Tamandua tetradactyla: one gene and its partners. The protein of the gene in region 1 purifies or fractionates together with the protein of each later gene. This does not show direct contact. Links are inferred from orthologs where the notes say so. Each region holds a gene or a part of one and is shown in the gene's direction. Other genes may lie near its edges. The genes, in order: ABI1, CYFIP2, NHSL3 and EPS8L1.

Evidence for each region.
Region 2: the proteins of ABI1 (region 1) and CYFIP2 purify together in Homo sapiens (co-immunoprecipitation; 4 studies listed by BioGRID and IntAct, with this or other methods). This does not show direct contact. The link is inferred for Tamandua tetradactyla from reciprocal best matches to the Homo sapiens genes ABI1 and CYFIP2.
Region 3: the proteins of ABI1 (region 1) and NHSL3 purify together in Homo sapiens (affinity purification with mass spectrometry; 3 studies listed by BioGRID and IntAct, with this or other methods). This does not show direct contact. The link is inferred for Tamandua tetradactyla from reciprocal best matches to the Homo sapiens genes ABI1 and NHSL3.
Region 4: the proteins of ABI1 (region 1) and EPS8L1 purify together in Homo sapiens (co-immunoprecipitation; 4 studies listed by BioGRID and IntAct, with this or other methods). This does not show direct contact. The link is inferred for Tamandua tetradactyla from reciprocal best matches to the Homo sapiens genes ABI1 and EPS8L1.

What each region holds. Positions count from the first base shown.
Region 1 is NC_135327.1:223,997,343-224,004,502, forward strand, and holds the start of ABI1 (abl interactor 1), read left to right. Parts: upstream 1-4,151; 5' UTR 4,152-4,310; coding exon 4,311-4,427; intron 4,428-7,160. UniProt on the Homo sapiens protein: May act in negative regulation of cell growth and transformation by interacting with nonreceptor tyrosine kinases ABL1 and/or ABL2. May play a role in regulation of EGF-induced Erk pathway activation. Involved in cytoskeletal reorganization and EGFR signaling.
Region 2 is NC_135346.1:38,357,033-38,364,256, forward strand, and holds the start of CYFIP2 (cytoplasmic FMR1-interacting protein 2), read left to right. Parts: upstream 1-4,220; 5' UTR 4,221-4,308; intron 4,309-7,224. UniProt on the Homo sapiens protein: Involved in T-cell adhesion and p53/TP53-dependent induction of apoptosis. Does not bind RNA. As component of the WAVE1 complex, required for BDNF-NTRK2 endocytic trafficking and signaling from early endosomes.
Region 3 is NC_135328.1:193,159,963-193,167,601, reverse strand, and holds the start of NHSL3 (NHS-like protein 3), read left to right. Parts: upstream 1-4,636; coding exon 4,637-4,862; intron 4,863-7,527; exon of another isoform or gene 7,528-7,639. UniProt on the Homo sapiens protein: Able to directly activate the TNF-NFkappaB signaling pathway.
Region 4 is NC_135342.1:4,599,807-4,607,766, reverse strand, and holds the start of EPS8L1 (epidermal growth factor receptor kinase substrate 8-like protein 1), read left to right. Parts: upstream 1-4,943; 5' UTR 4,944-5,030; intron 5,031-5,693; 5' UTR 5,694-5,731; coding exon 5,732-5,748; intron 5,749-6,843; coding exon 6,844-6,884; intron 6,885-7,750; coding exon 7,751-7,809; intron 7,810-7,960. UniProt on the Homo sapiens protein: Stimulates guanine exchange activity of SOS1. May play a role in membrane ruffling and remodeling of the actin cytoskeleton.

The sequences.
Region 1 (7,160 bases):
TAAGAGTCACCCACAGAGAACCTCTTTTGTTGCTCATATGTGGCCACTTTCTCTACCCCAGCTCTTCAGGTGAGCTCACTGTCCTCCTCCCTACATGGGACATGACTCCCAGGGGTGTCAATCTCCCTGGCAACATGGGACATGATTCCAGGGGATGAGCCTGGCCCTGGTACCATTGGAGTGAGAAAGCCTTCCTTACCAAAAGTGGGAAGAGAAATGAAAGAAAATAAAGTTTCAGTGGCTGAGAGATTTGAAACAGAGTCAAAGGATCATTCTGGAGGTTATTCTTATGTTTTATATAGATACCCCTTTTCAGTTATTGGTGTATTGGGGTAACTAGAGGGAAATGTCTGAAATTGCTGAACTGTAATCCAGTAGCTTTGATGCTTGAAGGTGATTGTATAACTACATACCTTTTGTGGTGTGACCATGTGATTGTGAAAACCTGGTGACTGACTCTCCCTTTATTCAGTGTGTAGATAGATGAGTAAGAAAATAAATACAATAAATAAATAAACAGTAGGTGGAGTGGGAGGGTATGGGATGTTTTGGGTGTTCTTTTTCACTTTTATTTTTATTCTTTTTATTGTTTTTGGAGTAATGAAAATGTTCAAAAACTGATGGTGATGATGAATACACAAATGATACTGGGTACCATTGATTGTATATTTTGTATATTTATTTTATTTGAATATGTAATACATTCACATGATTGAATATTCAAAAGGCTCAACAAGTAGGCTTTGAAAGGATTTTATCTCACATCGGATCTCCAGCCTCCCAGAGGCAACAGATGTTATCACTTTCTTATAGGCCTTCTAGAGATTATATGTACAAACAGTTTTTTTACTTAAATAGATCACATACTGTTCTGCCTCCTTGTTTTTTTTTTATTTCTTTAACCACACATTCCTGAGATCGCTGCATATCATATATTAAAATGTCCTCATTGTTCTGGGGGTGTGAAGGTAGTTCAGTGGTAGAATTCTTGCCTGCCATGCCGGAGACCTGGGTCCAATTCCCAGCCCATGCACTTCCCAAACAAAGCAATCAACAAAAATATGGTATGATTATATGGTATGTGAATATATCTCAATAAAACTGCATTTAAATATATATATGTATGGAGGAGCACTAGGTTCCTCCATATTTTCAGGATCTGTTTTTAAACTTTTTAATCTTTTTTTTAAATCTGTTTATCTATTCATGTCATCACTAAATATTTTTTTTTTTTTTTTTTTTTTTTTTTTTTTTTAAAGGAAAGACAGAGAGAAGGAAGGATAGAAGGCAGGAAGGGAGGAAGAAAGGGAAACATCTTTTAAACATTTTCTTGTTTTATTGTATTTTGTTTCTCCGTTTTTGTTACATGGGCTGGGGCCGGGAATCGAACCGAGGTCCTCTGGCATAGCAGGCAAGCACTTTGCCCGCTGAGCCACCGCGGCCCGCCCATCACTAAATATTTTTAATTATAATAGCTTTTAAATATATTTTCATAACTAAAAGAACTAGTTTCCCTCATGTAAAGAAAACTTGTCATTGCAGTTTGTGGAAATAGTTAAAGATTGAAAACAATGTCTTTCTATAATTATGATACATCCACTTACAAGAATACCAGAAAGAACAATGAGGAAATTTTTTTTTTTGTATGCTGTACGGCAGGGTTTTATTTCATTCTTTTCCCATGTGAGTATCCCGTTATTGCAGCACCATTTGTTGAACTTTTATTTTTGTTGATTGCTTTGTTTGGGAAGTGCATGGGCTGGGAATTGGACCCAGGTCTCCGGCATGGCAGGCAAGAATTCTACCACTGAACTACCTTCACACCCCCAGAACAATGAGGACATTTTAATATATGATATGCAGCGATCTCAGGAATGTGTGGTTAAAGAAATAAAAAAAAAAACAAGGAGGCAGAACAGTATGTGATCTATTTAAGTAAAAAAACTGTTTGTACATATAATCTCTAGAAGGCCTATAAGAAAGTGATAAAATCTGTTGCCTCTGGGAGGCTGGAGATCCGATGTGAGATAAAATCCTTTCAAAGCCTACTTGTTGAGCCTTTTGAATATTCAGTCATGTGAATGTATTACATATTCAAATAAATAAATAAAATTAGGGAAAATTCAGGAGGTCAAAATTTACCCCTGTTTGCTCAAAACTCTTATACAATTCGCTAGGACTTAATTCCTTTCGATCTTGACCTTCCAAGAGCTGCTTTTATGTGAGCATCTACATAGACTTGATAGAGTGTGGTCCAGGTGTTTCACAAACTTTTTTGACTTTGTTGCAGAGTACGAAATATGTTTTCTTATACATTTATTATTTAAAACAAAAACTTCCATTGATTATTACCTTACTGTTGTGTTATGCCCGCTAATATTTTCTTGCCTCTTTTACTTTTTATAATCCTGGTCATGATGCATTATATCGATTTCTTGATCATAGGTATAGAGATTCATTTTGGAAAACACTAGTATATACTATAATTGAATATTTAGAAACATTTTTTACATTATTTCTCACTGATTTCTTTACTCAAATGAGAAAACATATGATACTGGTCAGTTTCAGAATAGCTAAGTCTAAAATTCTTCTGCATCATGTGTAGAAGATTGGAATAAGATACCTATACTGGTAATTTGCCACAAAGAAACAGGCATACATCTAGAAGCAAAGTGCAGTAAACAATGATCTATTCTTTTAAGGGAAAGTAAACAGACAAGGACTGAATCCCATCAACTGAAGTGGACTTTCTGAATTGTTTTGGCAGTGGAAGGTCTTCAGTGGACATTTTATTTAACTTGTCAAAGAATACTCCTGTACATAAAGGAGTTTATAATGCGCCTGATTTAAAAAAGGCTTGGGTTCAATTGTCATTTAAACTAGTGAGATGTTAAGCAGGGAGGCAAGTCCAGGGTACCTATCACTTCAGCAGAAATTTCAGTAAGTCGTAATTACATACATCCCTTCCCCTCAATTGCATTGGTGGGAATTTATGGAAGAGAACCTCTAAGGAAGGTTGAGAAATGTAGTTTACCTGGACGGTCTAGTGGCCAGTAGGAAGGAGAGAACAGATTTGTGAGGGCAAACAAGTTTTCATCACAAAAGCTTACATGCATTGTGTTACTTTGAAAATGTGCTGAATCCTTTACGGTATTTTTGTTACCTCCTTTATTACTTTGAAGGCATAGGTTCTAGCAAGATTATGTAATTTACTTAGGGCCACACAGCTGGTGGATGGCTGAGGTTAGATTTAAAATAAACAAGGGGAGGGACTTCCAGAATGGTGGAGAAGCGACCTCAAAAACTTGCTGATAAAAGCAATAAACAACAAAAATTGCCAAAATCAACTTTTTCACAACTCTGAAAACCACAAGCTTGCAACAATCTGAGGAGCACTTATTCAAGAAAAATAGCTGAAACTCAGTAAGAACAGCAAGTTTTGTGGCGTTTTCATTTGTTTTTCTTCCCTCTCTCCCTCTAGCTCCACAGCAGCCTCTTGAAAACCGACAGCATCACAATCACGACAGCTGTGAAAAGCCAGCAGCTTAGCAGCCACTTGGAGAGGAAAGACAGGTTTTGGAGTGCCTCCAAAAGCCCAATCATTTATCTGGCTGGAGCTCCCTGGAAAAGCCCCATTCTCAGTATTTTTCTTTATCCGACTAGACTGAAAGCTCACTCAGAGCAACAGAATTTAGGAAACTTATCAAAACCAATCAGAAGCAATTGCTTATCGCAGCGTCATCTTTAAGAAGATAAAGATGTGGGGTTTTCCATATTCTATTCCTTTTTAATCCTAATCAGAATCCTTGTTCCAAATTCACTGACGTCCTAATTAGGAAAGTTTCACAGCCTGCCCTGGGAAACGGTTTTATTCTCCAGAATCACCCTGTGGCGCCATCTCCCGGAGCGATAGCAACCTCCGGCCCTAAATCCCCCGCCGCAGGTCAACGTCCTTGATTGACGCCCCACTCCTTCCTTCCCGGAGGTGCCCTGGGCGCATGCGCTTCCGTCGCGACGCCCGTATCTCAGATACTACAATTCCCAGAAGGCGGTGCAGAAGAAGAAATACCAAATCCCGCGGCCTGCGCTCGCTGAACGATCGCGAGAGCAGGAGGTCCGGGAGGCTGCGCGGAGCGAGTGGCGGGGGTGGAGAGGGCGAGGAGGAAGAGGAGGCGGCGCTGTCCCACAATACCAGGCGGGAGGGCGGGCAGGCCGTCGGTATCCGGGCTGCGAGGGGCGCCGAGCTCCGCCGACCGTGCTGCCGCTGTCTCTTTAACGCGAGAGGAAGCGATGCGGAGGGGTGGAAAATGGCAGAGCTGCAGATGTTACTAGACGAGGAGATCCCGTCTGGCAAGAGGGCGCTGATAGAGAGTTACCAGAACCTGACGCGGGTGGCTGACTACTGTGAGAACAACTACATACAGGTGAGGCGCGCGCGGGCGGGCGCTGGTCGGGCCGAGGACCCCGCCGGCCGCGAGTGACCAGCCCCCTGGGCTGAGTGGGAGCTGCCCGACCTCAGCCGTGGCCCCCAGCCCCAGCCCCAGCCCGGCCGCAGCCCCAACCCCGGGCTTAACCTCGGCTCCAGCCTCAGCCGCAGTTCCTACCCCGGTCCCTACCGCAACCGGTCTCCAGCCCCAACCCCGTGTCTGGCTCCAACCTCAGCCCCAACCTCAACCCCAACCCCAGGTTAACCTCGGCTCCAGCCCCAACCTCAGCCCCAGCCCGGCCCCAATCCCAGCCCCAGCCCCAGCCCCAACCCCAACCCCAGCCCCAACCCCAGCCCCAGCCGCAGCCCCAGCCCCAGCCCCAGCCCTAGCCCCAGCCCTAACCCCAATCCCAGCACCGGTCCCATTCCCGGCCCCAACTGCAACCGGTTTCCAGCCCCAGGTCCAACCCCAACCCCAACCCCAACCCCAACCCCAACGCCAATCCCAATCCCAACCCTGGCTCCAGCCCGAATCCAGCTCTAACCCTGGCCCCGGCCCCATTCCCAACCCAGACCCCAACCCCAACTCTGGTCCCAACCTTAGCTCTAACCCCGACTCCAGCCCCAGCCTCAACCCCAGCTCTAATCCAGCCACATCCCCAACCCCAGTTGCAACACCAATCCTGGCCCTAGCTCTAACCCCAGGCCATCGCCCCGGCCCCGGCCCCAACCCTGCCCCTGCCTAGCCCCGCCGGGGAGAGCAAGTGTCGGGGCTGAGGGAGTCGGGCCGCGATACAGGAAGTGGCTGCGGCGGTTGAAACCCAGGAAGGGGAGGGAGAGCAGGGCGCGGGCGTCCCGGGCGGCCGCCTCCGGCGGGCTCGGCCCCTCGGCTCTGCGCGGGGACCGGGTCTGGACGGCGAGGCGGGGGAGCGCGGGGCCGCGCGGGGGAGGAGCGGCGGGGCGTGGGTCGGCAGACCCGGGTGGGGGCGATTATGCAGTTCAACCCAGAGGGTGTGTCTTTTATTTATTTAATTTTTAAAAAATTTGTCATGAGTCACATCACACAGACCTCCCGAGGAGTGGAGGGAGGGGGTGGGGAGTGAGGGAGGACGTTAGAGAGAAGTAAATCTTGAAATTCCTTTAAGTGATGGTTTGCTTTGCCTGCCTGTCCGTTTTCAGGTCTGGTTTGCCCTTCTCATCATTTTCACTTCCGCCCTACCTTGAGTATTTTAGAGATTGTTAGGGCTGTCATTGTGATAAAACATGGATTATTCTTAACTGCTTTGGGGAAAGGTCTTAAATACTCTCCCCAAAAGTTCTCAGGCTGACTTCATGAGTAACTTAAAATAGAATGGTCTAATTGCCGATTGCTCTCTTTTCTGAGGTTGCTCTCTTTTCAGCTTATGTCAGTGTATACAGTATGACTCCAAATAGATTACCCACTACATTTGTTTAGCTTTTGAACCACAACATAAATGATCAATTCTTGAAAATTTATTAGAAAATCCTTGGAACCTTATCTATGACAGATAGTTTTTGTTTGTTGTTGCTGTAACGATTGGAAGCGAATTATGTGTGTGGTAGTTAGGTTTGTAGATCTTTGGGTAGACCGACAGTTTGCAATAGGAGCAAGTCAAGTAGCAGAGCAGTCCTTTGTATCAGTATATTGGCACCAGAAACTCACTTGTTTTTGGTTAAGGCGTTGACCAAAACTCTGTAAGGTTAGAGTTTTTGCAGTTCAGAACTATAGTATTTTTAGATGTGTCTCCCATGTGGTTATCATTTTTAAGAACCAATGTTTCTGTGTTGGCAAATATTTTTCTTCTTTATTTTTAGAGGGAGATACTGTTTTAGAATATTTTGAATATTTGACAATTTCCATATTAGTAACATTGTATCTGCAGTAGTATTGCTAGGAATTTATCTTCATAAAACTTTTCAACCCTTACTTTAGTAATTCTAAGTAAACTTGTTGCATGTTTGTCCACCTACTGTATTACTTGTTTGTGCGAACTTTATATTTAGCCTTAAACATTTTAAAATCTAGTAATGTGGATATAATTAGCAAATAGAAAGGTGATTTTTGTCACTTATCGATATTAAAAACATGCAACTTTTATTCAACTTAATATTAAAAGCGTTAAAATTCAGGTGAACCTTAATTTACTGAAAATTTTAAAGGTTTTGAAAAACAAAGAGCACAGAAAATGAAATTATCCCCATCCCAGACAACTGTAGAAGCAGTGAAAGTAGTAGATAAGTAAGTACAGAAGGGGAGGCTCCTTTTGTTTTGCATGTTGGGAAATCAGACAAGTATATGATGTGGTAACTGCTGCTGCATGTTGGCAACTGTTAGTAGCTGAAGACGTGTGTTAACCTGTCTGCTGACTTTCTTTTTCAGATGCTTGTATGCTGTAAGGCTTTTTTCTCCTCTTTCCTCTCTGTCTCTCTCTCTCTCCTGACCTCTTTCCTTTTCCCCTCCTGCCACCATCATATAACTTTGAAGCACTTGTAAACTTCCTTGGAAATATCCCTAAATTAGATAAATCATGTTATTTTTCATCTCTCATTCTTTAAAATATTGGTACCATGGTACCAAGAGCCTCTGTTAGAGGCCTCTAGTTTTTTTTTTTTTGGTGGCTCTAAACTGGACACTAGTGAGATATCCTGATTTTACTGGAAAGCAACAACCAAAAAACAACCAAACCAGATGAAATTCACATAGCAATGA
Region 2 (7,224 bases), on another chromosome or scaffold:
CCACCCTCCGTAAGTGGCAGAATGGAGTCTTGAACCCAGGCCTGTTTGTCCCCTTCAACTGTTCCGTGGACTGATTTTATAGTCATTTATGCTAGCCTCTTAAGACAGCACATTCTTTTTGTGCCTTAACTTTGCTGTACCCAGCATTCCAAACTCCTTTCAGAATATGCTCTGACCTTACTATCAGTCCTTACCCAAATTTATTGTAAATAGTATTTGTTCAAATAAAGATAAAATGTTCTTTGTTATCCAATTACGTGCTAAAGGATCTGATCGTCAACAGAGGCCAGTTCTGCAGAAGTTGCAGGAAATGACCAAAGTGAGGAAAAGGTGGAAGAAAAGGGAAGATATGCAGTTAGTTCCAAAGGGCCCAGGAGGGAACTGCAATGTTCCAGCCACAATGCAGTTCTCGGCTTTTCATCTATAAAATAACAAAATCTTAGGATTTTGTGAGAATGCAGTGCAATGAGGCCATCCATATAAAGTACTTAGCACAAACACTGGCCCCATATAAACATTCAATAAATGTTAGTTTAAAATATACGCTTTAGGGTGGGCCATGGTGGCTCAGCAGGCAGAATTCTTGCCTGCCATGCTGGAGACCCGGGTTCAATTCCCAGTGCCCAGCCATGCAAAAAAAAAAAAAAAAAATATATATATATATATATATGTATATATTCTTTAATAAATTATTTCAGATTCAAAGACAGTGGCAGGCAACCCTTTGGTTTCCCATGGAAGGACCTGGGGTCTGAGTTCAGCCCTGCCTTGGATAACATCCTCTTTTAGGCCTCAGTTCTTTCACCTGTAAAATGAGGCAATTTTGAGCAAATGGTCAGGTTTTATCTAATGGGCAATGTGAATTGTGTAACTGACCATGAGTTTCTCTTTTCCTGCTAACCACAAGAATGTACAGAACAAAAAATGTGTAAGCTTATTGTAGCAAGACCATGGCATATAATTTTTGTACTATTCACATTTTTCTTTCCATCTCTTTTTGAATTTTTTCTCTTCTTTCTTTTTGCTATTAATTTTTTAGCTGTTTTTAACTTTTAATTTAATGCATCCTTATGAGTTGCATTAAATATGTTTTGGGGAAAAGTGTTGATAAATATCTGGATTTGGTTTGGAAGAGGGGACATGGGGATGCTTATAATAGCAGTCAAAGCATCAGTGTTGGTTTCACTATAGGGGGCAAGTTATTTAACCTGTCTTAGTTTCCTCAGTTATAAAATAGGACTAATGATCATATTTTCCTCATGGGACTACTGTGAAAAATCAAATGGGGTAATGCACTGGTATAGCTTAGCCATAATTGTTATTTACATTTTCTCTCTCCAGAACGAATTCCCATGTCCTTTCCAGATACGCCACTGCTGGCTTCTAATAAGCAGGGTCTGCTGATGGTTTTTAAATGCAGACAACCTAGATGTTCCAAGTACTGTGAGCCTTTTCTAAAACCAAGGCCATGTTGCTTCACATGGAACCACAAGGCATGAGCCAAAGTTTTGCAAGTGGCAGAGCAATTCTCACTTGGTAGCTGCAATTTTCTTATTGCTGAGGGTGCAAATCAGTGTGGGACTTGAAGGAAATAAGAAGGCAGTACACAGACAGCTACAAATTTCACTGACAAAGTGGAAAATAACATTTCTTCTATCAATTATTCATGTAGGCCATTTTGATTACATTCCCATCATCTACCAATCTCTGTGCTAGGATTGGAGGACACAGTGGGGAGCAAGGCAGACCCAGTCCCTTGTCTCTTAGATTGTATGGTCTCATGATGGATGCAGGCAAGCAAATCAGCAATTGTGACACAGCATAATAAAAGTCATGATAGAGAAGTCCAGGATAGAGACACCTACCCAAGGCATGGAGGGATCACAGGTGGCTTCTTGGAGGAGGTAACATCTTTGTGGATAACCAACAGATGAAGAGGAGTAGATAGGCAAACTGGGGAAAATTGTAGAAGAGAGAGAAAAGGAGCTTTCTAAGCAAAAAGCTCAGCTCGGGCAAAGACCAAAGACAAGAGAAAATACAGCAAATTGTGGGAACTAAGAGACTTAGTATTTATTTTTTTTCTCTTCTTCTTTCTTGGGGGGAGGGTGAGGTGCATGGTCTGGGAATTGAACCCAGGTCTCCTGTATGGAAGGCAAGCATTTTACCACTGAACCACCTGTGCACCCCAAGTTGGGGAAACTAGAAGAAATTTCTTTTAGCTGAAACATAGTGAGCATGTCACAAGTAGAAAAGATTGGAAAGGCAGGGGCCAAATTATGAAGTCCATGATAGACCATGGCAAGGAGTTTGGGCTTCATCCCGAGAACAGTGGGGACTACTGACGTGCTTTAAGCCAGGAAAGGATCTGTCCTTTGTTTTTAACTCATGCAATTTTCCACATGTAGGAACTTTGTAGCAAAGCCAACTCACTGCATTTTATAGATGGAGAAACAGGTCACTCTTCTATTAGTTGCAAAACTAGGACCAAAAGACAAATCTCTGCATTTCTAGCAAAATGGTTTCAATCAAACCATATGGCTTCTCCTTTATACGTATATAGAATTCATGGGTCAGGGAATAATTGTTGCCTAAGATCTAACCAAGTATGCATGCAATGATATTCTTTGTTTTTAAGCAATTTATTCTGATTGGTGAAAAGACAAGGAAGGAACAGCAGGGTGAGCTATGTCTTCCAGAAAAAGAAAACATCCAAAATAATATGTCTTTTAGAATGAAATCCATTTTATTAGGATTCTCATTGTTAAGTCCTGGTAATTACTGATACTCAAAAATCCCAAGGATCAAGGTTGAAAACAATTTTTTTTAAAAAAACGAAACTTTACTTCCGTTCTTAAAATCATCCCCCACAAACTCCCCCACAGCTTTCTCACATGGCATCAGGGACAGAAATGTGTGTGTGTGTGTGTGTGTGTGTGTGTGTATGTGTATGTCATCCTTCTGAAATAGGGATTTAAATCAGAATGAGTAACGTAATATCAAATTACCAAGGATTATGAATTCTGTGCACTTGGGAATTATGCAAAATCAGCAAGGGCAAAGACTTACATAAGGTCTTTTCTGATCCTTGAACAGTGTGGCTCCTCTATAAATATCCCTTAATAGGAATAGCAGAGTGATAAAGTATAAATTTGTGAATCCTAGGCAAACATTTAAGAAAGGTCTCCTTGAAACAAGACTTTATCCCTTATATCTGTATACACTTTAAAATGTCTCAAATGCATTCAAATTACTTACCTGTGAGTGAGGAGGGGCATCTCGTGACACAGCAGTGAATTGACTGGCCTGGAGTCTCAAGGCTAGGACAAGCAAGGCTCAGCCTGACTTGAATCTGGTCTGAAGGTCCACCAGGCTGCATCTCAATGAAAATTGTTTCTTTGGAAAGCCATAAATTTCCAGAGAAATTTAAAAGAGAAGGGTGGGTACACATCCTCTCAGTTGCTATTGGGCCCCCAGGCATTGCCAGGAAGGTTTCCTGTTACCGTATTTTTGCTTTTTGTTCACTAGCCAATTCTAACTGGATGAAGCTGGGGCACGCTGGTGCTTAAGAGGTAACAATTTCAGGGATTCTGCCCAAAGTGACTGAAAGAGGGTAGGGGAAATTATTCCGGAGCAAAGGAGCAGCATTAGGGACTAGCCTCAACTAGTGTGATTGCCGCCCTCCCCATCAACTCCCAGGTTTATTTTCTATCATTTCACCCTATTCCTTTTCTTTCCAGTCCTTCTCCCAGATGTAATTTATGCCCATCTCTTCTGGTAGAGATAAGCTCCAAGAGGGCAGGGACCCTGTCTTCTATACACCAGTGCATACCCAGTTCCTGGCACGGGGCTTGAAACAAAATTGGTGCTCAGTGAAGGCTGGTTAAATAAATGAGCACTTGGGAATAATGTGAGAATAATGAAATTCGAACGGGTCCGAGCTTGCGATCCCCCATTGCTGTAGCGTGGGTCCCAGGAAATGGGGGACATGGGGTAAAAACATCCCTCCCTTTTCCTCCCCGGCAGCAGGGCGGCAGGATGGCCTGGGAACCCGACTGGTCCTCGTGAGATGCACGCTAGGGGTACCGAGAGCCCTTCGCCGCAGCCATTTCCTGCTCTTTGTGTGACAGCCGCGGTGGCAACCGGGCCGGGCACCGGGAGGGAGGCGGAGCGCGGCTGGCGGCGGGGCGGGGCCCGGGGCGGGGCCGAGCGGGGCCGCCAGCAGAGCGGAGCCCGGCAGAGCATCCTGCGCCCCGGCGTGGGGCCCTGCCGTAGCCTCGGGCCCTGGCCCTGGACCTGCCGCAAACCCAGGTAAGCGCCATTCCCCGGCCTGGGGACCCAATCCGGGGTCGGGATGCTGATGGTGACCGGGATGCGGCCGTGAGGACGCGCGAAGAGCCGGCATCTTATCTCCCAGCCCGTGGAGGGCACTGGGCGCCGCGCCCGGGTTAGCGGCCTGGGGGCTCCCCGGCAGTCCCCGGAGTCCGGGCCCCGGGCCCGGGGCGCCTCCCTTAGCTCTCCGGCCCAGCTTGGGCCGCACGCGCCGGCCCTCTGCAAGGACGCGCGGGCGCACGGCGGAGCTCGGGCGCGGCGGCCCCAGTAGCAGCAGGTGCGCGGCCTGGGCCGTAGCCGCCTGCGGGAGAGGAGGCGGCGCTAAACCTGAGGACCCGAGACACCTGCAGCGGCCGCCAGCACCGCTGCGGCGACATCCTTGCGCCCAGGTGCCGCGGGCCGCCTCCGCCGGGGCCACCGTCACCTCCCCCAGGGCCAGCGAGACCAGCCTGGGCCCGCCTGGTAGCTGCCTCGGGCACCGAGCGCCCTGCGGTGAATGTGAGATGGGTGGGGCGAGGGGCGAAGCGGAGACGTTTGGGAGTGGGGCGCTTTCATGAGAAGAGGAGGCACCACCCTTCTGACCCGCTTTGAAGCCTACTGGCCTACCGGATCCTCTCTCGCCCGGCCGCGTGGGGGCGGGGGAGGAGGTGGGGAGAATGCAATGAGGGGGCTGACTCCTGGGAGAAAGGTTGGGTTTTCTGAGCTCTGAAGAACCAGGAAGATGCCTACCTGTCTAACTACCTAGTAGCTTCCTCTGGTCAGGAACAGCCCTTCCCCTCAGTGGGTAAGCCGGCCTATTTATAAAGGAGGAGAAGGGGGTGCAGTGGTTTTGGGGTGGGGGCCGGTATGGTCCAGCGGGGCCTGAAGAATAGCTAGGAGAAGGATGGGGCTGGGAAGAACACTGGGAGTGCCCAGGTGCCCAGTCCCAGCCCAGGCAATCTGACTTTGACCTCTGCCTGCCTGTTTTCCCCAGCAGGGTGGAAACTCACTCAGGCTGATGGGCAGTCAGCTCCCCTTCCTATCAGCTCCTGGCTGTCTGCACCTTCACAGGTGGGCAGGGAGGCTGGAGCAGTCCTGCTGGCATGAGAGGCAAATCAGGAGAGTGTTGACGCCCGCGTTCCCCTCTGCCACCTCCCGCCTGCATCCCCTGTAAGGCAGCGGATCTCAGCATACTCTTGACCACAGGTCACGTTGCAAGTTGGGTCCCAGAGCCCTCAGATCTTGGAGGGTGAAAATCTAGGTCCATATTCTTGGTCAAGATTGTGAAGGCCTTGAAGTCTTCTCCACCACCAGACCCCTTCTCTATGGACTCCCACCCCCACTTGCGTAAATGCCCTGTGTTTCCCCGGTTCTCCCAAGTCAAAGTTCTCCCAAGTCAAAATTTGTGAACCTGTTCCTTCTGAAGAGCTTAAATACAAAAGACTTCCTCACTTGATTAAGAGCAGGTGCTTGAGAAGTCATTTGACTAGAAAGGAAACAAAGGGTGGAGACATTTTAATGGGAAACGAAGCTCTAAGTGAAAATATTGACATCTCTAATGGTGGAATTTCAGACAGCAGGCTGGAAATGTGGGGGGGGGTGGGGGGCAGCTGTCCCTGAAATGACAGCCTCTAGCAGCTTTCAGCTCTGTGTACTTGCAAGGGCAGTTTTGGCCCTGAGGGCAGGAATATGTAGGAGTGTATGCATGTCTGGTCAGAGTCATTGTCACCAGGAGACATCTGTTGAGCACCCAGTGTCCACTTGTGGGAGGTGAAACTTCCTATAGAGAACTACAGGTCGGCACTGGCTGCCACATGCTGGGCAGTTCCCAGCCACCAGAAGAGTATGTTGTTGCTTTCCAAGCTGGTGTCTCTGCTCACTCAGTGCCAGTGCACTGAGCCTCTGGCTGGGATCGGGAGCTCTCTGCTCACTAAGCTTCTTTATTATGTTTCCTGGCCAGTTCTGACTGGTTCCGGAGGCACCCAAGCCTGCCTTGTTCAGTCCCTGCTGGAAAATGGAAAAGGAAAAAAAGCTTGCTTTAGGCATTAGGCCAAGATTACTGACTTCCCAGAGTGGGTATAAAATCCACTAGGGTTGGAGAGTTTTTCTCAGATTCGATCTGAGGCTGGCCCAGAGAAGTAAATAGATATGAATATAAAAACTAGAAAAGGGCCCAGGGAGATTACTGCATGTCCCCTCTGATATATCGTGTCCTCTCAGGTGTTCAGTGGGCCTCTGCTGCTGTCATTGACCAGCAAGTAGAATTAGGTGGTGAAAAGGCAACAAGCTAATCAACGTTGGGGACACACTCCTGGAAAACAGAGCAGGGCTCTAGTTTTCATGTTTCAGGATTGGCCTGCATGCTCAAAGAGGTTTATTTGGGCCACTTTTGGCCTTGGGGTTCCACCAAGAACTTCACAAAATGGTGACCTCCATGTGGTCACCATAACAATGAGTCTATTTTTTTTTTTTTCTGGCACGTATTAATTATTCACTTGGTAGTTGATGAAACCAGACATCAGTCACCTCATTAGAGTTTTTGTGAAAGGCCTTTGGTCTTTTCATTCCAAGAAGCAAAGCCATGTCTCAGGTCCAGAGATGGACCCTGTGTCAGTACTGGAGGTGGTGGGAGAGGGTGGCGGGTGCTGCTGGCTTCTAGGCAGTGATGTGGGAGGTCAGCTGTGGTGGAGAAGGAGCTGACACTTAATTGGATGCTCCTGTTAAATGAGAGATTCGCAAGCATGCTAAGCAGAGTGTCTAGCATACAGTACTATTTTTGTTATAATATATTGATTACATAATCATTAAGAATTTGGCTTAAATATGTTTAACCCATAGCGCTTACCAACCCTCTACCACCAGAGCTTTCCTGAATTTTTGCTTTATGAAGGGAACTGGTCTCTGACCAAGAAACCC
Region 3 (7,639 bases), on another chromosome or scaffold:
GTACTTCCCACTCCAACACACTCATACACACATGCATAGGTACCTATACACACACACACACTCCTTTCCTAGGTAAAGTTGGATGTTTAGATGGGGAAACATGGGCCCAGAATGAGCAAGTGTCTTCCCTAAGGTCACGCAGCAAATCAGTGGCAGGACTGAGAGGAGAACCAGGTCTGGTTCTTGGGAAACTCCTTGGGAAAGCTTCCTTTCTTTGAGTGCGAAGTGCTTTTCTCCAAGATTCAACAATCAATTCATCCAAATTTCATTTGAAAAAATAGATATGGATATACCTACTTTTATATATACACAAATATTACATATTTTTATATATACATATCCCTATATATATGGAAACATTTTTTAAAGTAGTTGGGCTCTTTGCTAACTTTCAACAAGTAATTAATATGGGCTGGCTGGATAGCTCATTTCTGTTCAGACCTCAGAATAAAGCTTCTGACATTGCTTCCAAGTTGTTAAAACTCTTGGCATTTGCTCCGGCTTGTGTATAAGACTCAGTATTTTCTAACTACTGAACAACCAAAATAAACTGCAGAAATAAATTGGATGCTGGAGCTCAATTAATACCGTAACCATCACCTATGGCTCACTGTTTTAATTTTTTAGTTTATCAAAATGTTCCCACTGATTTTAAGTTATCTGGCTCTAACTTTTGATTTGTAAAATAAATTTATATGTATAAAATACTGCTTTTATCAGCTTTATCTATCAGAGTTCCAGGATGGTCTATGTTTGGAGAAAAAAATCCAAAACATGACACAATGAAAAGAAAAAAGTTTGGAAAACCACTTTTATACACTGTACAGCACAGAGAATAACAATCTGATTTTAAAAAAATTTATATATATATATAGTCATCCTCAGGAAGCCTGGAGCGCAGAGCTGGTGCTCAGGATATGTTTGTTAAAAGGATGAAGGAAAATAAACTTTTTCGACATTGGAGACTGGGTAGCAGCCAAAGCTACTCCTCCCTCCTCCCTCACCTCTTCTCCCTCCTCCCTCATCTCTTCTCCCTCCTCCCTCACCTCTTCTCCCTCCTCCCTTGCCTCTCTTTCTAGGAGCTGGAACAGATGAGCAAATAACCCAGAAAACTCCACTAACAACCTATCTGGCATTACCTCGGGTCAGTTATTTTACCTCTCACTCCAGCAGGGAAAATGGGTGGAATTAGGCTGGGGCCTGATTTGAAAAGATGCTGGGAGGATCAAAGATGACCTCAGCGGGGAAGTTGTCTGAAATGTGAACATGGCTGCTCCATCTGCCAGGAGCCACAGATAAGGGGAGGCAGGAATGCTGCCTGCCACCAAAACTCATTCCTTCTGCCCCCGTTCCTTCTGGAGGTACCCTGTGGAGGGTTAGGGAGGAGAGAGGAGGAGGGGATTGGGTGCAAGGAGCCCCTTCCTACCTTCTCCTCCCACTGAAAAGGCCCTGAATCCCCAGAGGACCAGAAGATAGATTTTTAGCCTGTTCTGGAACAGAAACCCCTTTGAGAATCTCCTTAAAATCATGGGGCTGTTCATAGGCATGTGCATTCAAAGTTAAGCAGACGACTTTGAGAGGTTCTTGGAAGCCTGGCTGTGGCCCTTGGATAAGTCCTCCCTGCTTCAGGGTCTTAAGGTGCCAGCCCTTGGGAAGCAGGTGGGGTGGGGGGGAAGGCATTGCCTAGCACAAAGTCAGTGCTCGATTAGGAAATGCATACACACAAACAGACACGTGAACACAAATCAGTTTTAAACTCTGGTTCTGCCCACAGGTAGCCTTGTGACTGGGCAAGTCATCCCACCTCCCCTGCAGCTTTTCTGTCTGTGGAATGGGAATACTATTAAGTTCACAACAGGCCCAGTTTTGCAGGACTACCCCTCCCTCCATCACAGTTCTTGGCCCTCCAATTGGTCTAAGAACTGAGGTGCTCCCACCCTCAGCTGGTCTCCCCTCTTGGTCTTCCCTGTGAAATGAAGGAGGCTCAACCACACCTTGTCCCAGCCTGTCCAGGCTGGAAGTGGGGAGTCTGTGGGGGAGGAGGCCAGGCCTGGGAGGGGGCAAGACTGGGGCCCATGGGAGATGGGGTGGGTGTGAGAACAACATCGGGGTGACTGTGAAATTTCTAAGAACAGAGGAACAAAGCTGGACGCCGGGGGTCCCCTGCCCTAAGCCTGGTTGTCAGTGGTTCCTCCCTGGGGACAGCCTGGCAGCTCCCTGCCTGGTCAGCTGTCTGGTCGGGTTGGACTTTGGGCCTGGCCGACAGGGGCAGCTGAGAAGACGGATCCCTCAGCTGCCTGTAGGGCCGGCATAGAATGCAGCCGAGCTGAGCAATCATTAATCCAGGCAGGATTCCAGCTGCAGTGGGGGGAGGGAGGTGGGATGCACACCCAATGTACCTCGGTAGCCTAACTGGTCCATTAGGCCAGGGGAAAAGAGGAAGCAGCTAAGGTTGCTGGTCTGAAGGTGGCCCAAACTGGGGATGGCAGGTAAGAATGTATCAGAGTTGGGAGCAGTGACCTCTTCCCACTTCCTTCCTCTCTTTCCCCTTCTCCAAATCAGGGGACCCAATTTAAGGATTTATTCCCCATACTTAGGTTAACGCTCTGCTGTTGTCCTCTTGAATTTTTAAAGAATTTTTGGACAAGGGGCCCTGAATTTTCTTTGTATTGGACTCCATAAATTACGTAGCCAGTTCTGGCCACTGGGAAGAAAGAGGTGCTGAGAGGGTTTGGGGTGGGGGGGCAAGATTGGCCAACATTCATCTCCCTCCACCCCTTCCAAGAGCCAGAATATGTTTGTCTTCCTTCCTGGCCCCTCCGTCCCCAGTGGATCCAGACTTTATCCAGCAGGCCAAGGCTGCACGCATCACCCTCTATGTCTCAGCCCTACCTTTGACACTCATCACTAGCAATAGGAGAGGCGAGGACCTGCAGGATAGTGTTGGGCTTGGCCTCGGTCTTGTACCAAAAGCTAAGGCCAGTGTGATCCCTGGGCAAGGGATCTGAATGAAAGGCCGATTAGAAGGGAAACTGAGGTCCTGTAAGTACGGTGATCTGCCCCAGGTCCCCCAGATGGGGGTTGTCAGTGAGGGCTCGGGCTAGCCACAGCTGAGCCCCTGGGGGCCTGTGGAGAGGTCACACTGTGTACCCCAATTTTCCTGCAATACTACAGTGAGTGTTGTCCATGGTGTGCTGGGGCTCACTGGGCTGTGGCGCCCCAGACACCCTTAAAGAGACGAAGATCAGGAGTGAGCTGGGTCACCAGGGTCAGGTTGGGTGATGCTGACAAACTCCAGCTTCTGGGGATCCAGAGAAGGGGGTCCAGGGATGCTGAGCCCACAGCTGGCCCGTAGGGCTTGGCGCCTCCCACCAGGCAGAGAGAAGACCCAGATGCTGGCCTTGGCTCCTCTGCTGACTACCTCTGTGCTCCTGGACAATCATTGCCACCTCCCAGCCTCAGTGTCCCTTCTGTTCGGTGGGGGTAACACTTCTTGCCTTGCTTCCCTCACAGGCTTGCTGTGGGATCGGATAATGTAAAAGTGCTCAGTCAGCTACAAAAATGAGCCAGAAGCCAGGAGGGAGAGTGCAGAATTCTCAGGATTTCTAAAGGTTTCACGTCCTCAGTCACCCTTCTCACCTGCAGAGGGTCTCAAAAACACCTTAGAAACTGTTAGTTCCTCAGGCCCCAGGATCCGCCGGATTCAGTGTTGAACAGCTCAGTAGAAACCCGGAGCCCGGCAGGGGAGCCTCAGGGCCTCCCAGCCTAACCCAGGAGGAAACGGAGGCACGACTCTCCCCATCCCAGGCACCAAAGGATGAACCGGTAGCCCAGGCGGCCTGGCCCTCGCCTCCACACCAAAGATTCTTGGATCCTGAAGCAAGGTGTGAGGAGGAGGGAAAAGGAGCGAAGAGGTAATTATCAGTGGCCGGGTGGGAGGGGAGTGCCAGCTGTCGATCACAGAGCTTGGGCGGGTCTGGGAAGCCACAGTCTCTAGGGCAAATGCCCCAATACTGTCCGGGTCCGGGAAAGAATTCTCAGAATTCCTTTATTCCAGGAAAAGAATTCATGAATCCCTCCTTCTCTTACCTGATCAAACTCGGGACACCTAGGTCTCCTGGGGCTCACCCCCCAGAATTTCTCTTGCTCTCCCCCGAGCCTCCCCACCAGTGCCGCCCTCTTCCGGGCCGAACCCCGTATTGTGTCCCCTCTGGCACCACCAGTGCCGCCCCCTCCCGGACCCGCCCCGCTCCACCGCCCTCCGGGCCGCGGGCAGCCCGCACGACCGCGGCGTCTCAGCACCAGACCTCGCCCTCCCCCAGCCCAGCCCCAGCCCGGGACCCGAGCCGGAGGAGGCGGGGAGCGGCCGGAGGCAGCGCAGCTCCCGCCCCGCGGCCGCTCCCTCCTCTGGCTCCTTCCCTCCCGGCCGGCCTCCGCGCCCCGCCCGCCGCCGGGCCGGCCCCTCCCGCGCTGCCGCTCCCGCCGCCCGCACCGTCCTCGCTCGCTCTGCCTCCGCCGCCCAAACTTTTCTCCCGGCGCGTCTCCCCCGCGGCGGCCGCTCGTCCGCCAGCCCCCGCCGCATGGGCGCCGCGCCGCAGGGGGCCTGACCCCCGCCTCCAGGTCCGCGTCCAGCGCCATGGCCACCCGCGCGCCCCTCGCCGCACCTGCGGCCGAGGAGCCCGGGGGCCCCCCGCGCAGGAAGAAGTCCCGCTCGGGCGCGTCCAGCCTCCGCCGCGCCTTCAGCTGGTTGCGGGGCAAGCGGCGCAAGAAGAAGGCAGCAGGGGCCGAGGGCGCCGAATCCGCCGCCCCCCGGGCCAAGAAGGCGGACGACAAGGCCAAGAGGGCCAAGGGCAAAGGCCGAGGTAAGGCGGCGGGCACCTGGGCTGGGCGCTGGGCGGTGCTGAGGGTGCGGCCGCGGTGGTTCCGCCGGGGGTCCCGGGCGTGTTGGAGGCCGGGGAGACTCCCAAGGCGCTGGTGCTGGAGGAGCGAGGAGCCGAGAGGGGCCGGAACGTCCCAGACACAGCTCCTCTGCTCCACTCTGAGGGCAGGGGACCCCCGGGTGGGCAGGGATTCCTAGTTTCAGCAGGAAGTGCTGGCAGTCTGGCTGGTGAGGCAGTGAGGCAATTCCCCCCTCCCCCAGGCGCACTCAGGTCCTGCTCTCTGCTGAGTCAGGGGGTCAGAGACTTGACTCTGGCCTGGGGCCAGTAGGAGAGGCAGGTGGCCCTGGATCTCTCTAGGTCTCGTGTGGGTCCCTCTGGGTCTGGAAGATCAACTGCACTCAAAAGGGGTTTCAGTCCTCTAGGTGGGTGTGGGTTTCCAGCCCCAGAAAGGAAAGCACCCTGCACTAGGTCCTTAACAGTGTTAGTTTTTTCCCACCTGGCCCCCTTCCCACTCACCTGGGCCAGACTGCAAACATCCACCTCCTGAGGTGGTGAGCTCACTGACAGGAACCAAGTGCCCTTCCCCACCACTCCTCGCCCCACCGGTAGAATTCACAAAAATGTCACTGTCGGAAGTATAGTTGCATATGGGGAAACTGAGGCCCAAATTAAATGGAGAGGCTGAACCCGGGCTGGAGTAGGGACTTGGAGGAATTCGGTGTTGTGTTTTTTTTTCTCTGACAGCCTCTGGCCTGATGGTTGGGCAGCCTGAGGGCAGGGGAGGCCAGTCTGGCTCTTCCCTGATGGGGTCACTTTTCTTTTGACCACTAGCTTGGTTTCTCCCTTATTCACCGTCAGTCCCCATCTCCTGTTTAGGTTGGGAGGGAGGAGGGCCTGAGGCTCAGCAAAAGGGTGAGGCACCCTTGGGGCTTGGTGTCCCCAGAAACCTACCTATCTACCCTTCTGCTGCAGTGCTGGAGGTGAGGAAATGGTGTAGTGTGCGGGCCCATCCCATCCGCCTGTGTTCACCCTCTCAGTGTCCTCTGAAGGAGAATTAGAAGGAACACTTTAGGGATCAGGAAGTGGGTGAAAGAGTCTCTTGTGTGATTGCATCTGGCCCCTTCTTCCTTTTGGATAAGGTCCCTGCTCCCTTGCAGCCCAGCCACAAATAGAAGTCAGGGTGCTGGGGCTGGGGTGTCTGGCTCTCAGTGGGGCCAAGGGCTCTGCACTTCTCAGACATGAAATCTGTCCCGGGGCTGCCTCACTAGTGTTCCGTCTGAAGATACCTCCATCTCACTCAAGAGGTAATGGGTTGGAATTGCAGCAAGTTGGATTATGGTCAGACTGTCAGGATTGGCAGGCAGAAGTCTAGTGGTATACTCCAGGGCAGTAGACCCTTTTTCCCTGGCAGATCAGCCTGGAGGCAGGAGCTGGAAAAGCTGATCCTGAAAGTACCTACTCCAACAGCCTGGGTTGGGTTCACTGGGTCAATGGCCAGGTCTCCCTCCACCCTGATGCCTGGTATCAGGTGGCACTGGGCTTTCCAGGCAGCAGGTCAGCCTGATTTGAGCCCACGTGTGTGAACAACACCTCCCTGCCCCTAGCTGTTGTTTCCCTGGGTCTAGGGATGGCTCAGGTACAACTGGAGGAAGTCATGCTCCATTCTGCTCCAGCCTCCTATTATTCCAATTGTTTCCTTGTCACCTGCCCAGCCCAACTTCTCTGTTTATTAAGAGAAATAAATCTGATCTCTCTAATCTCCGTTGGCACTGCTGGCCAGGGAGGGGAAGCCCAAAGAAGGCTTAACTCTTTCTGGGGAGAATGTCCAGAATGGAGACTGGGGAGAAGGAGGGGAGTATAGACAGAAAATTCTTGGAAGGTCAGGGGCCTTTTTGGGGGGAGCTCATTATCTCCCTCACCTCAAGTTCTGAACCAAAAATCCAAGGGCTATGCAGTTAGTTCTAGATGCCCCTAGCTGACTCCTCCACTCCAAAGACGGCAAAGCTTAGCTTGGAATACAGTTCCCCAGTTCTTGTCTTTCAAGACTCCTCTGCTCCCTTCACCACCCTGCACATACTTAGGAAAAAAGAGGAAATTTGACGTTTATTGATTATTCTGAATGTCAGGCATCCTGTATCCATTATCTCATTTGATCCCAATTACGAGTAAAACAGTTGAGGTTCGAGGTGAGTAAGTGGATTGACTTTCCCAAACTGGGATTTAAACCAGTTCGATTCCCGAACTGGTATGCTCTTATGACCAGTACTTGGTCATAAAATTAGTATTGTTTTTATTTTCCTGCAGACATGGAACAGAGGGCTTAAAAGTTGGTTCTCATCCAACCCATTCTATAGATGGGAGAAGGCCCAGAGTGTTGTGGGAACTTGATAGAGAAGAAGAGTATTGGAGTCAGGCAAATGGGAGTTTAAATATCGGTTCAGCTGCTAGCAAGCCCTGTGACATTGGGCTAGTCATCTCCTCCCTTTGGGCTTACTGATTCTGTTACTGTCTCATGGGGAAGAGAGGGTACCTTTTCTCAGGGGTGACCCTCTGGCTAGACATTGCCTGGATGGATCTGTGACCTCTCTATCTCTCTAAGATGCTCACAAGAGAGGATATGAAAATTTTATAAATTGGAGCCACCACAGAAATGCAGGGGTTGCTGTTGTTGTGTTTATAAGTTTAATCACCTGAGCTCCAAGGACCCTGCAGGAAGAGGAGTGGGCCCTGAGGCTGACAGAACAACTCTGCTGCCCTGG
Region 4 (7,960 bases), on another chromosome or scaffold:
ATCTTTGGGGAATCAGAGTATATGGGAATTTCTTCTATTCTTCCTGCAACTTTTCTGTGAGTCTGAAATTTCTCAGACGTTGAGCAAAACACTCATTAGCTCCCCAAATCTCTCCAGTTCTTGGGTTGGCCCTCAGATCTTCCCGTTACCTCTGGGACCTCACCTACCCCTGCCCATTCGGCTCCAGCCGCTCTGACCCGGCAGGTGCACACACCGGGCGTGCTCTCACCCCCAGGACATCTGCACTGGCCATCCCCCCACATAAACTCTGCAAATCCTTCCCCAGATAACCCCATCATTTCCTTCCTCGCCTCCTTCAGCTCTTCAACCAAAAATCACCTTCTAGGTGATATCTAAACTTTAAACAAAACCCAAAAGAACTGTCTTGACCCTCTTTATTTTTATCCATCCGACATTTTACATAGCCAATGGTTTAATTTTTATTTTATTTGTAGTATCCTCTGTGTCCTCTGCCAGAATGCAAACTCCCAGAGGGCAGATTCTGGGCTACTTTGTTCACTTCTGGCTGCTGGTACCTAGAACAGTTCCTGGCACAGAACAGACACTGAATAAATATTTACTGACTGAATGAATAGATGTCTTGAATGAATGGTCATCTGAATTTCAGGGCTGGGGAAACCGAGGCTCAGAGACGGGCTTTCAGCTGCGCTGGAGCCCACAGCTGTCCGTCCTCAGAGCCATCTCTTCTCACGCCGCCTCGGCTATGTAGCTACGTGTTCATTCCTTTGTCTAGTAATTCCTCGTCACTATGCCAGGCCCTCTTCTGAGCACTTCTCGTGTTTTCTCACGCCAAATCCTCCCTCCCGCGCTTCAGGCAGCCTCTGGGAAAATGCCCATTTTAGAGAAGAGATCCAGAGGGCTCAGGGAGTAAAGTCTCCTGCTAGGACCACGAAGGATCTATGTCTACTACCCAGGATCCAAACTCGAGCGTGCCCGGAGCCCTGTCCCCTTCACCGCCGCCTTGGCCCAGCCCCCCGGCCTCGGAGTCAGGCGCCTCCAGTTTCAGGAAGGGGCTGCCAGCCTGCCCTGCCCTTGTTCCCGCCCTAAGGACAAACAGCTCCGGCCACCCGCCACCCTCCTACCCTGGCCAAGCCGGTTTTAGACTCGGCCTCCCAGGAGTCCCACATGCCTCTCCCCGCCCCGTCTCTAGGGGTGTCCAGTCCCGCAGGAACTCCCAAAGAAAAATACTACATTTAGGGCCATCTGTGCCCCCAGCCAGACAGGCAGGCGGGGGGCAAACCCATCTGAGCTGGAGTTTTGTCTTTGTCATGGTTGCAGTTAAGCCTCCAGCCACACCCCCCGCAGATGCCACCCACCAGCCTCCAGGAGGTATCCCATCAGCCTGAAACCCTTGCTGCTCTGCCAGCTCATTCTCGAAATTCAGGTCAAGGCTCAGAGAGGCCTTTCCTGACAACCCCACCTGGAGCAGCCACCCCTGCCTGCCCTCAGTCACTCCAGCTCTTCACCTCTGCTGCATTTCTCTCCTTGATCTGAAAAGTACATGATACTTCATGTACTTGTCTTCTGCTACCCCCTCAGTGGAAGGCATTCCAAGGTCAGGGGCTTTGTCCATCTCCTCCGCCAGCACATGCTTGGCATACAGTAGGAGCTTAATAAGGATTTGCCACTGTAGAAGCCACTACCAAGCTTAGAGTGCAATGTCTTGCCTCTTTGTCCTTGGCAAACTCCTGTTCATCCTTCAAAACCCCACCAGTTAACGCTGAACCGAGGAAGGCTTCTTTGACTCACACACACTCGCGAAACTGGATTAAGAGCCTTCCCTGGGCACACACAAAGCTCCTGGGCCACCCCTATTCATGGACATATCACAGTGAATTGCGACTGTGCATTCCGGCACAGAGGGTGTGACACAAATTAGGTCTCCACAACTATTTACTGAATGTATAAATTAGTAGTTAATTAGCTGTAAGGAAATGTATCTCTCTGAGGCTCAGCCCCCATCTTATAACCACCCCTTCCCCACCCCACCCCTGAACACACACACAACCTGCCATAGCTTGCTCTCTTGCCAGTGAATTTGATCTCCAGGAGTCCATCAGCAAATCCTACAATCTAGGAGAGTTTGGGCTGGGGGTGGGAGGGGAGGGGGTGTATGGATGCAAGACACGGGGATGCTTCAGATATGACACAGACAGAAGTCTGAGCTGCTCAGGTCCCAGAGAAAAGTTCTACTTGGTTCCTAAGACCTCTCAGCCCAGAGGAAAAATTGCCCAGATCCAGGACAACACATATACCGCATTTTGGGCATGGAGCTTGGGCACGGAGGCAGGCGCCGAGCAGAAGGCTCTCCAAACCCACAGGGCAGGCTGCGGTCAAAAAGGGCTCCTAGGAGGCTCTTCCCGGTACCTCTCCTCCGCCCAGGACTTGCTGCGTCAGCTTGCAGGGGTGGTGCCTCCTCCCCTGGTGTCTGGGGAGCACTGGCTCGGATCTGCAGTGAGGGCGGGGCCTCCTCTGCAGCCAGAGAAGGAAGGAGGCAGGAGGCCAGGGCCCGGGAACCAGGGCGGAGGCCCAGGTTTCGGTCTGGGCAGCAGCTTGGGACTCCGAGCCGGTGCGGGAGGGTGGGGTGGGCGGCCTGCACGGCCCCCTGTGCTAGAGCTGGGTCCTGCCCCTCTTCCCCCAGACCCGGGGGGCCAAGCCCCCAGCGCCCCCTCCTCCAGACCCACCCACCTCACACAGGTTAACTAGCACATGTGGCCTTTTCCCTCAGATCCCAACCCACGCTGGGTTGGGCTCAGAAAATATTCGCGGCACGAATGGAACAAGGGCACAGAGGGACAGGAGCAAGCGGAAGTCAAAACCAAAAAGCCCAACACCCCCCTCCCCTCCCCCGGCGCAGGGGCCACCTGTGCTCTGGCCGCTGCTCTCCCCTCCCCACTGGACTTGGCCAACTTGGGCTGCCAAACTCGTCCTTCAGGTCTTAGCTCCGCCCCCACCTCCTCCAGGGAGCCTGCCCGGACTTACTCATGCGGCACATGTGGAAAGACGGCCCCTGTCATCGTGGTGGCTGGCTGTCCTGCTGTCACTCTGCACTGAGCCCTCCGTGACTCCATTTAAACTGCTCAGTATGGTCACCCCCACTGCAGAGTTAGATAATTGCAGCACAGAGAGCCTGAGTAATTTGTCCAATGTCACACAGCCATAAAGGGGCAGGAACATGAAAAAAGAACAGAGGGGATCCAGGCTGTGCATTGGAACGCCTAGGTTCAGCCATCAGGGCCGCTTAGCATGTGCCTCTGTTTCCTCATCTGTGAAACCGGGTAACCCACGCATCGCAGGATGTTGTGAGGACACCCCACGTAACCTGCTCAGAAGAGGATCTGAGCACACCCTGAGAATTGCATCAGTAACTGGTCAAGCCGGGAATGAACCCACACCTCCAGAAAGCCTGCCCGACCCTCCCAGCAGCCTCTTCTGGACCACCTCTGCCATCGCAATATCCTGTGTCTCTCTCTCTTTCTTTAATCCCGGCAAGTCCAGGGCAAGGACGAGCCTTCTCCGGTCCAGCCTCATTCTGCATAGCTGTGGAATCAATCCGAGTTGAAGGAAGTAGTGAGGCAAGAATGCACAAGAACACACCCCATGCGAAGCAGTCATTCATTCAACAAAGATTTCCGCACCTGCTGTGTGCCGTAGGTGGTTCTATATGCTGCGGACACTGTGGGGGACCAAACATACAAAAGTCTCTGCTCTCGTGAAGCTCACCTGCAGGAGGGGAAGACATAAAATGAACAAAATAAACAGGTGTTAGAAGGTCATGAGTTCCCTGGAGAAAAATAAAGTAGGGGAGCCAGGAAGGGACCACAAGGTGTGTCAGAATAGGGGGGATAAGAGGTGCTGCCATTTAAATGAGGGTGGTCAACTGGGCCCGCTGAGAAGGTGCCATTCAAGCGAAGCCCTGAGGGTATGAAGCCTTCTGCCGGAAGGGCATTCCAGCAGGGGCACAGCACGTGCAAAGGCCCTGAGGTGGGGGGGGCTGGGTGCTCAAGGAACAGTGGGGCCCCTTTGCTGGAGCAGAGGGAGTGAGGTTAGAGGAGGCCACGTCCTTATTAAGGCCTTGTAAGACTCCAAAGAGAAATGGGGAGCCCACTGGAAGGTCATGAGCAGAGCCAACTTCGGTTTCTACAGAGCCCCTGGGCTGAGACTAGGCCGAAGGGGGGAAGGACAGAAGTGGGGAGACCAGTTAGGGGGCTCCTGCGAGGGCCCCAGGAGCGGTAATGGTGGTGCGACCCGCGTCCCCTGCCGTGGATCTAAGGTCTGAGACTTGGAGTCGGGCACTCTCGTCCTTGTGCCCGGGGTACTGCGGCACAGAAGATGTCCTTGGTGAGAGATTTTATAAAGGTGTTGATACCCAAGAAGTCTGTTCATTTCTGTGACACTTGGAACTGCGCCAGGGCACTTTCCAAGCTGAGTCTCAGCTGCAACCACAACAGGGGATCGCGGCGGGACCTTCCTGGAGGAAGGGAGGGGAAGAGGACATCAGGACCCCGGAGTGCCCAAGGACAGGAGGTGTCCCCAGAGGCAGAGCAGGGACGGACACCCAGGCCCGTTTCACAGCCCACCTTCTCTGTGACCATGAGCACACGGCTTATGCTCCCTGGGTTTCGGCTTCCTCATTGGCAAATCAACCCTGCGCAAACCTTCCCCCCCACCCACCCCCGCCAGCCCTGCAAAAGGCGAAGAGGATCTGAGGGGAGGTTGAGGCAGTTTCCCACTCCCACAGGTGAACAAGAACGGCAGCAAGTGACTGCTGTTGTTATTACTGTGTTACTGCCACAATGAGACAATTAAGTCTCCGGCTCCCCCGAGGCAGCCCAGCCCCCTCCTGGCCTCTCTGCCAGCCCCACCCGGAGGCAACCCCTCCCGGGCTGTGCCAGGTGAGCGCTCAGGTATGCGGGGGGCGGGACAGCCTGGGAGGGAACCGGAAGGAGGGGCCACGGCTGGAAGGGAGAGGAGAGCAGGACCTTTCCTCTGACAGAGCTGGCTGGCAGGTGAGAAAGGGGTACCCCGAGCCTGGGTCTGAGGGAGGAGGGGCTGGGGGACCCCAGGATCGGAGGAAGGAGGGGCTGGGGGACCCCTGGGTCTGAGAGAGGAGGGGCTGGGTGCCTGGACCCCCAGATCTGAGGGAGGAAGGGTTGGGGGACCCCTGGGTCTGAAGGAGAAGGGGCTGGAGGCCTGGACCCCCAGGTCTTGGGGGGGTGATATTCCAGCATCTGGGCTCCTGGGAACTAAGACAGCAGGGTCCGGGGGAGCCCAGGCTCCTGAGTCCGGTGGAGGTAAGGGCTGGAACGGGAGCTCCCACTAGCTGAGGGAAGAATACAGATAGGGTCCTGAGGGGCTGAGAAATTGGATGAATGGTTCTTCGAGGAGACTTGGGGTCCAACACCCTTGGTTCTCAGGGAGGGTGAGCTCTGGCCCGACTCCCAGGCTCTCAAGCAGCTAGAGTCGGAAGACGAGATCCCTGCATAGAGGAGGGAAAGTGGGATACACAGAGGTTAGGGAATGGAATGTGGGGGTCCCGGAAGACCTGGGGGCCCTGGCACTGGGTGTAAGGGAGGAGGGGCTGGGGGCCTGGAACCCTGAGTTTAGGAGGGCTGGGGTTTGGGGTCACGGGGGCCTGTAGGCCAGGCCCTCACACCCCCACTGGCCCCCAGGGCATCTCCAGGTGGGCAGGAGCCACCTTCTCGGCACCATGAGCACCACCGCCCGGTAAGTGTCCCCCCTCCTGCGTCCCCCAGCAGCCCCTGCACCTGCCCACGGTGTTTGCAGTGTTTGCAGGAGCCCAGGGTCAGGCCCAGCCCAGCTCCACACACTGAGGAGGAAGCCGAGTGGCCTTCCCCCTGCCCCGGCCTGGGGTTGGCAGCTCCGGCTCCGGAGGACGCAGCCCAGGAATCAGCTGAGCTCGCACGCTCAGCCTGGCTGTCGTGAGAAGCTGACGGGACAATGTGCACCACGACACAAGCCGCCGTCCCTGCTGTGGAGGTTATTTTATTATGGACAGCGATGGCCCTGTGCTAGGACATCTGGGCTGTGTGTCCTAAGCTACAAGCCTCCCAGAGGGAGCAGGGAGAAGGCAACGAGAGCCGCAGGGATAGCTGCATGGTGGGGGTGGGGTGGGAGTTCACCAGCCCAGGGAGACCAGCCCTGCACAATGAGGGGCAGTTACCAGGGCTTCTGGCCCCCCTCAGCCCCAACCCCACCTGTGCTCTGGGCTTCTGCTATTTCCTTTGGAAACAGGGATCTGGGAATTCTTCCAGGAGAAAGTGACCTTAAAGGGAAGGCTGAGGGGAGGAGACAGAAGGGTTTGACTGGGGAGGACCTGGTCCATGCGGGAGGAGGGGAAGCGGTGACTCTCCTGCTCAAATGTTAACTCTACCGAAACACCTGCCGCGTGTTGAGCGACTTGTGTGTACTTAGACCCGTCCAACCGTCTTCGTGATGACAGTGACAGTTACTGGGCTGCAGAGCTCTCACCCGCATCGTCTCAGTGAATTTTCCCAACAGCCCCACCAGGTGGATGCTATGCGTAACCCCATTTTCCAGAGAGGGAAACTGAGGCACGAGACATTCTCATGGCAAGGGAGCAGCAGACGGGAGATTCGAACTCTGGTCTGCTGGAGAGTAGAGACCATCCTGCTCCCCACCACACACTACCACTGACTCATCTGTTTTCTTGGCCCTCTCCAGTTCAATCCTTCTATGGCTCCCCATTGCCTCATGATAAAGTCCCTGCTTAGCATTCGACACCTCACATCACCTGCCCCTAATTCTCACACTCACTCTCAGCCCTCTTTTCCTTCCCAGTCCAGAAGCTGCCCCCAAACCAAGTGCCAAGTCTATCTATGGTGAGTGTGGGCCCAAGAAACCTTAGGCTGGGGTTGCTGAAGCCCTGCACCCCCGGGTCCGAGGGAGGAGGGGCTGGGAGCCTGGACCCCGGGTCCGAGGGAGGAGGGGCTGGGGGCCTGGACCCCGGGTCTGAGGGAGGAGGGGCTGGGAGCCTGGACCCCGGGTCTGAGGGAGGAGGGGCTGGAGGCCTGGACCCCGGGTCCGAGGGAGGAGGGGCTGGGAGCCTGGACCCCGGGTCCGAGGGAGGAGGGGCTGGGAGCCTGGACCCCGGGTCCGAGGGAGGAGGGGCTGGAGGCCTGGACCCCGGGTCCGAGGGAGGAGGGGCTGGAGGCCTGGACCCCGGGTCCGAGGGAGGAGGGGCTGGGAGCCTGGACCCCGGGTCCGAGGGAGGAGGGGCTGGAGGCCTGGACCCCGGGTCTGAGGGAGGAGGGGCTGGGAGCCTGGACCCCGGGTCCGAGGGAGGAGGGGCTGGAGGCCTGGACCCCGGGTCTGAGGGAGGAGGGGCTGGAGGCCTGGACCCCGGGTCCGAGGGAGGAGGGGCTGGGAGCCTGGACCCCGGGTCCGAGGGAGGAGGGGCTGGGAGCCTGGACCCCGGGTCCGAGGGAGGAGGGGCTGGGAGCCTGGACCCCGGGTCCGAGGGAGGAGGGGCTGGAGGCCTGGACCCCGGGTCTGAGGGAGGAGGGGCTGGGAGCCTGGACCCCCGGAGCTGGGGGAGGAGGGGCTGGGGCGTGGACCCCTGGGTCTGAGGGAGGAGGGGCTGGGGGCCTGGACCCCGGGTCTGAGGGAGGAGGGGCTGGGGGCCTGGACCCCGGGTCTGAGGGAGGGGAGCCTGGACCCCAGGTCTATCCACCTTCTCCTCCCGCAGAGCAAAGGAAGCGTTACTCCACTGTGGTTATGGCTGACGTATCCCAGTACCCCGTTAACGTGAGTCTGCCATCTGTGCTGCCACAAGGAGTCTTGCTGGGGGAGAGGTGGGCCTTGGAGATGGAGGCGTTAAAAGCAGTTGGTCCACTAAGTAGAAGGAATGGAACACTCAGTTTTCTCATCTACAAAATGGGTTTCCTTTGCCTTGCCT